Callithrix jacchus: one gene and its partners. The protein of the gene in region 2 interacts with the protein of the main gene of each other region in a pairwise test. Links are inferred from orthologs where the notes say so. Each region holds a gene or a part of one and is shown on either strand. Other genes may lie near its edges.

What was found.
Region 1: the proteins of MEOX2 (region 2) and EMD interact in binary tests that used the Homo sapiens proteins (3 or more experiments, as listed by UniProt). The two-hybrid records come from large-scale screens. The link is inferred for Callithrix jacchus from reciprocal best matches to the Homo sapiens genes MEOX2 and EMD.
Region 3: the proteins of MEOX2 (region 2) and GPATCH2L interact in binary tests that used the Homo sapiens proteins (3 or more experiments, as listed by UniProt). The two-hybrid records come from large-scale screens. The link is inferred for Callithrix jacchus from reciprocal best matches to the Homo sapiens genes MEOX2 and GPATCH2L.

Annotation. Positions count from the first base shown.
Region 1 is NC_133524.1:150,171,824-150,175,572, forward strand, and holds EMD (emerin), read left to right. Parts: upstream 1-1,270; 5' UTR 1,271-1,403; coding exon 1,404-1,485; intron 1,486-1,609; coding exon 1,610-1,717; intron 1,718-1,865; coding exon 1,866-1,943; intron 1,944-2,156; coding exon 2,157-2,290; intron 2,291-2,725; coding exon 2,726-2,772; intron 2,773-2,853; coding exon 2,854-3,181; 3' UTR 3,182-3,588; downstream 3,589-3,749. UniProt on the Homo sapiens protein: Stabilizes and promotes the formation of a nuclear actin cortical network. Stimulates actin polymerization in vitro by binding and stabilizing the pointed end of growing filaments. Inhibits beta-catenin activity by preventing its accumulation in the nucleus.
Region 2 is NC_133512.1:42,863,435-42,867,083, reverse strand, and holds part of MEOX2 (homeobox protein MOX-2), read right to left. Parts: intron 745-3,649; coding exon 520-744; 3' UTR 1-519. UniProt on the Homo sapiens protein: Mesodermal transcription factor that plays a key role in somitogenesis and somitogenesis and limb muscle differentiation. Required during limb development for normal appendicular muscle formation and for the normal regulation of myogenic genes.
Region 3 is NC_133509.1:111,081,077-111,084,825, forward strand, and holds the start of GPATCH2L (G patch domain-containing protein 2-like), read left to right. Parts: upstream 1-1,404; 5' UTR 1,405-1,474; intron 1,475-3,749.

The DNA of each region.
Region 1 (3,749 bases), on a different chromosome or scaffold from region 2:
AAAAAAAAAAAAGAATATCACCTCTTCTCCATTCTCCGTAGGGCAGCCCTTATCTGATCAAGGTCCTGGGAATCCTAGCCACAGTCCAGGCTCCTGAGCAGGCCTTGGCAGCCCTTCCATAGCTCGACACCCACGTCTGCCCCCTGCCGGGCTATGCTGGGCTCAGGGGCCATTCCGACAGAAGAGGAAGCCCCACTTCAGCTCCCGCCAGTGCCCCGGGTGAATGAACGACATGAAGCGTTAGGCTGGACACACGTCATCTCTGCACACATCGCACAGCGCCCTCTGTCCGCGCTCACTGGCGTGCTCGCTGGCTTGCCCGGGCCCCTTCGAAGGCTGCTTGCTCCTGGAGTGCCGGCGGCCTCCTGGCCCAGTGCCCCATTTCCTCCCGGGTGGAGCGAGGTAGGAGAAAAGGAAGGAGGGAGGCGGTGGGAAGCAGCGAGCATATGTGCACGGGCGACAGCCCTGCAGACTGGGAAGGTGGGCCCGTGGCAGGGGGTCTGCGAGGACCGCGTAGGCGCGGGCCTTGCCCCACAGCCGCTTCCCAGGTGATGCGCACACAAAGCTCCCTCAGTAGTGCCTAGCCCGGGGCCGGCGCTCCCTTAGGGTTCAGACCCTTCCCGCCGCTGCTGGGGCGGCCGACCCGGATGCGGCCGGGGAATCCTACGCCCTGGGGCCACGGGAAAGGGGACCAGGGCGTAGAGAAGGGATGTGCTGGGACGGTGGGGAGCCCAAGTGACTTAGGGACCAGAGCCACCGCTAGCGCCCACTTAGGCCGCTCTCACTTCCCGGCCGGCAGATGCCGGGTGTTAGACACACAGGCCCCGCCCCTCTCTACCGACTGGCTCACGCACGCCTCAAGGTGACGTCTAGGCTCCCAGCCGCACCGCCCAGACTCCCGTGCGGGCCCCACCCCCAACAGCTCCGGGCGTTAGTGACGTACGGACTCGCGACCCCGCTCGCTCCCACCGCGACACCTTCTGCTCCGCTCCCGCGCGGGCCCCGCCCCCTCCATCGCTAGCCAATCCGTGTGTTTGTGACGTTGGGCTTGCGGCCCCGCCCACTCCCACCGCGAGACTGATTCCCACTGTCCTGACTCTCGGCGCGGGCCCCGCCCCGTCCGCCGCTAGCCAATCCGTGCGTTTATGACGTTTGGACTCACTGCCCCAGCCTCCCAGCTCCCAAGGCCCGGCCGTTCTGCGCCTGCTGCTCCCGCCGTTAAGCCCCTCCCCGCACAGCGCGCGCAGCCTGCGGAGCCCGAGGCCGTGACGAGACAGTGATTTGGCTGTGACGCGAGCGCGATCGCTCCCGAGGCGCTCGTGCCGCCCCCGCCGTGATCCTCGGCAGCCGCTGCTCGGCGGGTTTTGGCAGGGGCCCGGCTTCCGCCCGCGCCCGCACCCGCCATGGACGACTACGCGGGTCTTTCGGATACCGAGCTGGCCGCCGTGCTGCGCCAGTACAACATACCTCACGGGCCAGTTGTCGGTACGCGGCGGCGGGCAGGACCTGCCCCCGGGCCCCCTCCCCGCGCTCTGCCCCGCGCCCTCCCCGCCACCCTACCCGCGCGCCTTCCCCGGCTTGTGGCCCTGACCGCCTCGTGTCCGGCCAGGGTCTACTCGTAAGCTTTACGAGAAGAAGATCTTCGAGTACGAGACCCAGAGGCGGCGGCTCTCGCCCCCCAGCTCGTCCGCCGCCTCCTTCTCCTATCGCTTCTCTGGTGAGAGCCTCGCTTGTGGGGACCGGGCCTGGGATGCGGGGAGATCGGGGTCGCGAGGGTGTGGCAGGGGCGCCGGTCGAGAGCGGCACCGGGGAGAGGGGAGGGAAGCCTGGGGGGCAAACAGTTCTGTCGCCTCCCTTCAATCCAGACTTGAATTCGCCGTCAGTGGATTCAGATATGTATGATCTTCCCAAGAAAGAGGACGCCTTACTCTACCAGAGCAAGGGTAAGGCAGGGGTGGGGTGGGCACGCTGGCACGTTCACCTGACTGCGTCAGGGACCCCGCTCACAGGGAGGACCTGAGACCTCAGCCCCAACCACTCCAGCAGCCTTAGGAGGGAGAAACTGTCACAGGTCCCGAAAGAGATTCAGATTAGGGCCAGCAGGCCAGGTGGGGCACACCGATGCCCCCTCTGCTACCGCTGCCCCCCTTCCCAAGGCTACAATGACGACTACTATGAAGAGAGCTACTTAACTACCAGGACTTATGGGGAGCCCGACTCTGCGGGCCAGTCCAGGGGCTTCCGCCAGTCTGCGACTTCACTCCCAGATGCTGACACTTTCCACCACCAGGTGAGCTGGCTGGCAGGTGCCCTGTACTTGAGTACAATCTAGGGGATGGCGGCTGTGTTTGGATAAATCCAGGGGGCCACTGGATACAAATGGTGGCTTCTGTGCTTCTGGGGAGACTGGCTCAGCAGACGCCTGTTTGGCCAGGTCCCTACTTTGGGGAGCCATCAGAACTGTGACTAGAGCACCCTGGTCTGCAATCTAGGCTCAAGCTTTTCCTGAGACTCCTGGGGGCAAAAGGGAATAGCAGGGCATGAGCACAAGTGACAAGACCCCACAAACAAAAGACTGAACACCAAGAGCCATTCGGGAGGGTGTGGGTCCCTGGCCTCTAACCAAAGGTCAGAGGGCACCAGCTGGGGAAGTTTGGACTGAGGGATGTGGCAGGGCCATGGTGGCCCTGCCAGTCGGTCCACTCACCCTGACTCTCTTCTGCAGGTGCGTGATGACAATCTTTTGTCTTCTGAAGAGGAGTGCAAGGATAGGTACGTAGAGGGCAGGCCCAGGAACAGGGACTGGTTCTGCACCCAGGCTCCTGGCCCACCTGCTCCCCTCTTTTGCCTCAGGGAACGTCCCATGTACGGCCGGGACAGTGCCTACCAGAGCATCGCGCACTACCGCCCTGTTTCAGCCTCCAGGAGCTCCCTGGGCCTATCCTATTATCCTACCTCCTCCTCCACCTCTTCTGTGTCCTCATCTTCATCTTCCCCTTCATGGCTTACCCGCCGAGCCATCCGGCCAGAAAAGCATGCTCCTGGGGCTGGGCTTGGCCATGATCGCCAGGTCCCGCTCTGGGGCCAGCTGCTGCTTTTCCTGGTCTTTGCGATCTTCCTCTTCTTTGTTTACTACTTCATGCAGGCGGAGGAAGGCAACCCCTTCTGGAGGGAGCCCTGAGGGTCTGGGCTTCAGAGCCAGCTCTTCTGGGGAAGTCCTGGCTGATGGCCTTAGCAGTGAGGGTGGGGGTGGGGGTGGGGGTGGGGGCTTTTGTGTGTGTTCTCGCTTGGGGGGCGCTGGCCCAGCCCAGAGTAGTGCTTGCTCCCCTGCCTTGTCCCACCAGGGAGGCAGCAGACTCAAGCCCTCCATGATCTGGGGGACCTGGGTGTGCTTTCCTCTCTAGCCTCCTGGCCCTGCTTGCCTGTAACCCTTAGGGTCCAGGAGGGCAAGGCCTCGCTCCATCAGAGAACATGGTTATTGTTGTTGTCATGCATGCCTCCTTTTAGTTGTCATCTTGAGGGGATTAACCAAAGGCCACCATGACTTTGTTTTCGTGGACACACAATAAAAACCCCATTTATTTTTAATGTGTTGACTCTTCCTGGAGGAGAGGGTTGGGTTCCCATGGCAAGGGCATCTGGCCTTGCTGGGTCTGCATTTTGGCTTTGGTCTGGGGATAGGAATCAATTGCTACCCAGAAATGTTTGTGTTTTGTTTGGGAGTTTTATTCCCTGACTCATTCCCCAAA
Region 2 (3,649 bases):
CCATTGGAGTGATTTCAGGCACTGTGGCTATTCAGGATAAAATGTTTCATGGTTTATTCTTGATAGCAATTTAATTTTCAGTGCAAGCAAAAGCAAATACCTGCCCACTGTAACACACATGACCTCACACATCTGGAATGTTCAATGCAAGTTCATCTTCGGTATCTTCACTCTGGAGGCATCTTGAATAAAAAGGTTTCATAGTTTGGTCTTGATAGCAATTTAATTTTCAGTGCAAGCAAAAGCAAACACATACCTGCTCACTGCCATACACACGACCAAACACATCTGGAATATTCAAAGCAAGTTCACCTTCTCCATCTTCACTGTGGAAGCTTTTTAATAAGCGGCACTTAGTGTAAACCCTCTATAAATCATGGAAAACAGATTCGAGATGCCTGGATTTAATAATATTAAACATCACTGCCATAGTCATCTCTCTGTGTAAACGATGTTTGGGTAAGGCTTGCCATCACAACATTTCTTTCCTGAGAATGGAGTTGGTCCTCTGTGTATGTATCATAAGTGCGCATGCTCTGAGCTGTGGTCACTGTCATGACTGTCTTCATTTGCTAGAGAGTCCCCTGTTTGCTGGAGGGTGGCTGCGCCAATTCCAGACAACTCTGATGGAAGAAGTGTTCCCTTTTTCACATTCACCAGTTCCTTTTCCCGAGCCGCAGCTCCTTGCTGTCCACCCTTCACCCTCTTCCACTTCATCCGCCTGTTTTGGAACCAGACTTTCACCTTCAGCAAAGAAAGGGAACAAACAAAACAAAAAATAATTAAAATGACTTTGATTCTCCTTAGTGTCATCAGTGAAAAGTAGTTCTTCAAAAGCTCATAAAAAGACACCATGAAGGAGTGAATAAAAAAACAAATCCACATTGAATTAAATCAGGTTGCATGTTCATGATAGTGTTTTTTTTGGAGACAGAGTCTTGCTGTGTTGCCCAGGCTGAGGAACAGTGGCATGAACTCAGCTCACTGCAACATCCCAGGTACAAGCGATTCTCCTGCCTCAGCCTCCCAAGTAGCTGGGACTATCGGCATGTACTGCCACACCCGGCTATTTTTTTTAATTTTTTAAGTAGTGCAAGGGTTTCACCATGTTGGCCAGGATGGTCTTGATCTCCTGACCTTGTGATCCACCCACCTGAGCCTTCAAAAGTGCTGGGATTACACAAGAGAGCCACCATGCACAGCCAATAATTTTTCAACTTTCAAAAGGTGCAAACTACTATATTTTGTATTGTACAGCACACAATATAAAATATGGAAATAGACAAAAACTTAGGTCACTCAAAGTACTTGGGTCTATATAGAGGTTCCGTGAATTGAGCTAGCATAATATTGGTCTTGGTCAAAGCCTCCTCACTCCTAAGTTCTTTGATTTGATGTCTAGCTGTCATTTCCTAAACCAATATAAAACATGCTCCTGGAGCTACTGATTAAGCTGTATCCGAAAGGCCATTCTCTATGATTAGAAACTACTGCTGCTTGGTTTTCTGTTTCTGTGTTAGTTTGTGGAGAATAAGGGTTTTCAGCTTCATCCATGTCCCTGCAAAGGACATGAACTCATCCTTTTTTATGCTGCATAGTATTCCATGGTGTATATGTGCCACATTTTCTTTATCCAGCCAATGTTCTCACTCATAAGTGGATGACAAACAATGAGAACACAAGGACACAGGGAGGGGAATATCACACATTGGGCCTGTGGGGGGTTGGGGGGCTAGGGGAGGGATGGCATTAGGAGAAATACCTAATTTAGATGACAGGTAGATGGGTGCAGTTAACCACCATGGCAAGTGTATACCTATGTAACAAACCTGCATGTTCTTTACATGTATCCCAGAACTTAAAGTATAATAATTTAAAAAAAGTTCAAAAAAAAAAAAACAAAAAGAAACTACTGCTGTTTTCACAAAACTTTATTTGACCATTTCCACCTCACACCGAGCCTATCTTCTTTTGAACTAGTCTTCTTTTCTGCCTTAATTCTTTTATGTTTCTTTGCAAATATTTGATCTAATGATTTCTTAAAATATGGTCACAGTAATAAAATTCTCAACATTGTTAAATGCTAACACCGAGATTATACACTACATCATTCATATCAGCTTTGTACATGTATTTTCCTTTTAAAAGCTTTGTTGAATTTGCCTAATGCATTTATATATATATATATCAAAAACAACCAACAGACATTAAAGGTCTATTATCTGAACTAGAATATTACTGGAATTATTCCATCTTTTTTTAGGAGGAAATCTGTTTCTTTCACATTGCATTTCTCATGATTATAGCTTCTAGTAAGCTAAGTGTTCTTTTACAATGTATTTCTCTGTCTATACCACCTAAAAGTACCACAAGCCTGAGTTTTGGGTATCATCTCCAAGTCTTTCTTTAAAAAGAAAACAAACTTTTTTCATAACACGTGACATTACAAATATATTCTTTAATTTTATTTGTTTGTTAGGTTTATCAAAACAGAATGTTCTGAAGTGTAGGCTTTTTGCCACATCTATGTTGATTCAAGAGACTGTACTTATTCATTTTTTATCACTGTATAATATTCCAAATTCTGTCAATATAGCACCATTTTTCCATTCTACTGTGCATGAATATTTGAATTCTTTTTTTTCCTGTATGTAATGCTGCCATAGACATTCTTGCATTTATGTTCTGATAGGCATATGATGCGAACTTCCCTGGAGACTGCAGTTACATGGCTGCCACTATCTATCTTTGTTTAATGAATGCTGTTCTTCCTTTTCTTAGAGTATTTTTGATAATCAGAAACTCTTAATGTTAATACGTTTAAATTTATCTGTTGTTTCTTTTATGACTAGTATTTTTGTGTTTCCTTTTAAAAAAAAAAATCTCTTTTTTGAGACCACTAAGATATTCTATTGTGTCTTGTAAGAGTTTTAAAGGTTGCCTTTTCCAACACAGTGGAACCCTGTGTCTACAAATAAATAAATAAAATAGAATAAAATTAGCTGGGTGGGATGGCACAGTGCCTGTAGTCCCAGCTATTTGGGAGGCTGAGGTGGGAGGATTGCTTGAGCCCAGGAGGTTGAGGTTGCCATGAGTGGTGGTTATAACACTGCACTCCAGCCTGGGCAACACAGTGAGATCCTATCTCAAAAAGAAAATACATTTGCCTTTCATATTGCAGTAGTTAATCCATGAAGTACTGATTTTAGTATATAGTCTGAAGAATAGGCTTAACTGACTTTATTTTAAATGGATAACACATTGTCCCAGGTCCATTTATTAAGTAACTCACCTTTTTTTTCCCAGTGACCACTGTTTCATCTGTTCATTAATCAAGTTTCCATATATTCATAGCTTTATTGCTGTATTCTGTTTTGTTTCTTGAAAAATTTTTCTATAGTTATGATAAAACCACATTATCTTATTAATTATAATTTTATAATAAGCCTTTATATCTGCTAGGGATAGTTCTGTTTTATTCTTCTACATTAGAAATATTTTGAATATTCTCTATTTTCATTTTAGAAATAATCTCAATTTCTGTAAATAGTGCTATGGAGAAAGTGAAGAAAAATATATTAAATTTCCAAAGACATAATTATAGCACTGATCTTCAAATCACAATGCTTCATCAGTATGCTTTCACAAT
Region 3 (3,749 bases), on a different chromosome or scaffold from region 2:
ATTATAGGCGTGAGCCATCGCGCCTGGCCCAATACATTATTATAGTTGATACTTTATCCAGTTTTCCTTAGTTTTTACCTAATGTTCTTTTTTAAATTGCAGTGTCACAGCCAGGATACCATATTACATTGTCATGTCTCCTTAGGCTCCTCCTGGCTCTGAGTTTCTCAGACTTTCCTTGCTTTTGCTGACCTTAACCATTTTGATGAATACTGATCATGCACTCTGCAGAATGTCCCTCAATTCAGGTTTGTCTGATTTTTCTTTTCTTTTCTTTTTTTTTGAGATGGAGTTTCGTTCTTGTTACCCAGGCTGGAGTGCAATGGCACGATCTCGCTCACCGCAACCTCCACCTCCTGCGTTCAGGCAATTCTCCTGCCTCAGCCTCCTGAGTAGCTGGGATTACAGCCACGTGCCACCATGCCCAGCTAATTTTTTGTATTTTTAGTAGAGACGGGGTTTCACCATGTTGACCAGGATGGTCTCGATCTCTTGACCTCGTGATCCACCCGCCTCGGCCTCCCAAAGTGCTGGGATTACAGGTGTGAGCCACCACGCCTGGCCTGATTTTTCTTTTCTTATAATTAGACTGGGGTTATGAGATATGGAAGGACACTATCATAAAGTGCCATTCTCATTACATATCATTCCACATACTATCAACATGATTTAGCACGTACTCTTGGTCACCTGGCTGAATTACTGTTTGCCAGGTATCCACTGTAAAATTACTCACTTTCCCCTTTTCATATGTTGTACTTTTGGGAAAGAAGTCAATATGCAGAGCCCACATTTAAGGAGGTGGAATTTATGCTCCAGGATGGTGTGTCTGCATACTTTGAGATTCTTCTGTGGGGGATTTGTTTCTTCTCCAATCTTTAATTCATTCAGTCGTTTATTTATATCGGTATGGATTCACGAATATTTCTTTTATACTTTGAGTTATAATCCAGTATCACTTGCTCAAGGCAGTTTGTAATGTTCTGAGTAACTCAGTGCAAAACAACCCCCCCAAAGGTTGTACCAGCTCACAGGGCAGATGTCATTAAGATCCATTTCCCCTCAACTTCGCACACCCTTTATAAAGGTCAGAAAGCAAGGGGGAAGCTGACAACCCTCCCTAGCGTCAATTTCTGGACGCCCCTAAGGAAGATGAGGCCAGCCTGCTGGAGTAGTTCCCAACACGGGCACCTCAGCCCCTGAGGCGCCCTTTCCCGGCCAGCCCCTATTCACCATCCTTCCTTGGTCCCTGCCCCATCTCCCGGCTTCCTGCAGCCCCGCCCACCTCAGGGCGGAAGTGGGTGTGGCCACGGGCGGAAGCACTGGGTCGGGGGCCCGCTCTTGCAGCCAGCCCCACCCACTCGCCGCCGCCCCACCCCTCCGGCCCAGAACGGAAATGAGGTCAGAGAGGGAAACCCCGGCGGTGAGAATCGGCCCAAAAAGCGGCGGCCGTTCGAGGTGGCTGCGGCAGCTGGTGAGGGGGTGGAGTGGGTTGAGAGTGTTGGGGTCCTGAGGGCTAGGGCCATAGGGGATCGGATCGCCAAGCAGCGGCTGAGCGGCTAAGGGCGTCTTGGGGCTGCGGCAGCCGGCCGGAGGGTGAGGGTGGTGGGGCCTTGCTTTTTCAGGGCCCATGTCCCTATCCCTGGGGGTGTGGGTCGGACAGTCTCCGGGGCCACAGCCCCCTTTTCCCCTTTCTTTCTGCCTCTTTGGGGCTGGCGGCAGCATGAGGGCTTGGGAAACGGGCCATGGTCGCTCCAGCCCTCAGGGACGGGCCGGGGCGTGGTGGAGAGTCCTTCGAAAACAGTTTTTCTCACATACGTGGCCATGTTGCGACCCCCGATCCCGGAGGGAGCTCAGTCGCTACGACTTCCATTTTGGCAGTTTCTGCTCTAGAATAGCCGAACCCCGTCCTTGGTGAGCCCAAATGAGAAGTTGTCTCCTGCCTCTCGCATCTCCTACTCCGCCCCTCACTTCCACCCTGCTCCTGCCTCTCTTCTTACTTGCTGTCCGCAACTACCAGTTCCTTCCTGTGCGTGACTCAGCCTCATCTCTACCCGGGTGCATGCCTGGTCGCCGAGTCCTCTCGAGAGTGTGCACTCGACTGGAGATGGAAGCCCTAGGGACCTTCTGTCACCTACTGTTCGAGTTGCAGGCTTTGATGCAGGAAAGGATTCTGCACAGGCATTCGACTACTGACTTCGTTCCCTGTTCAAGTTTGTGCTGTTCTGAGGTTTTTGTTTGTACTTTTGTTTTTGTATTTTTGTCGCCTGAGTTTTTAAAGCAGTAATTCTTTATTAGGGAAGTGGATTTAGGCATGCTGTTCCCACTTGTTTCTCTATTTTGGTCTTAGGGACAGTTGTCTCCCAAACCTCAATCATGGCATTTTTAACCAGCTCCCCCCCCCCCATTTTTTTTCTCCTCTTTTCACAGGTGTTGATAAATCACTTCTTATTGCTTAAAAGAACTTGGCCTTTTAAAAGTGTATGTGCCTTTGGACAGTTTGAGAAGCTTTGTTTGTATGGCAGTTTTGGAAGTAGGTGTCACCATTGCTCCTAAAGGTGTGGCAGATAAGCCAGAGGACTGTTTTCCTGCCTTTAAATTCATTGACGTAGGCACGGCATGAAAATAGTATTTAGAAAACGCTTTGCAAAGTGAAAACTGAATGAATGGAAATATGGTCAGAGTGGCACCACATAGAGTTTTAAGCTCTAGTTTTGATCTTGAAATACTTTGGGCACAGGGGCAACGAAAAAAGTGCTAAAAATTTAATATGTATTTAATTAGGTGCTGTACAAATTATATTAAACATTTCCCCTTAAGAGGGAATTTTGAAGATTGCTCCTACTGCTCTCGTTTCTTGAAATGTTTGCCTCTGAAGTGACTCCTGAAGTGTGATGTTTGGTTTGAGGATGGATAGAAAAATAAGAAATTTTGGAAAGCAGTTCGGCCAGAAATCTTAGAAACTTCAACTTATCCCTGTCATTTCAGCTGCTGTCGTATCATTTTTTTCCAGTGATTGTGTGGCACTGAAGCACATAAGTAGGATGAACATTTATTTTCTGAAGGATAGGAAAGGGGCTTAAAAATTGTTAATTACTCAGAAATATATGACATACTATATGAGGTTCTATACCTGGTAGCTTTCAGGTGGTAGTTGCTACCAGAATGGGTGCAAACTTAGTCTATTCTCCTTTCTGACTTCAAACCTGGGCACCACAATTTCTTGGATCACAAAAACTGCAGTCTTCTTTAAAGGGTGTCACTAAGTTGTCTTTCTGCCATGGCCATGGAAGGCAGTGACCCCAGGCCAAAGAGCAGTTTTTTATTCATTCTTAATACTCGTTGAGACTGTGTCCTGCTCTGTGTTTCCACAGCTCTGCTGTGATTTTGAAGTTGTGTGTTTTTCTACTCCTGTCTAATGACAATCTCTAATCTTTCTGGATCTCATCATTAGGTAATTCAGTGACACGTTTAATTGGGGAAAGAGAGACGGGTCTAGTTCCCCAAATTTGTTTTGGGTCCTGTCCCAGTTGTCATCTGGTGAGCAGGTTTTTGTGCTTAAGGATATGTTGACTTCAGTCATTTAACAAGGGACAGAACACCTATTTTTAGTGACTTAAGGAAGTGGTAGGAACAGAATCTAAGTGTAGCCAGATGAAAGGTTACTTACTTTGTTTAGGCAGGCGGAACTATGGACTACTATGATCTGTTTTATCAAATTATTCCAAAACAACAGATCCTTTCAGGCT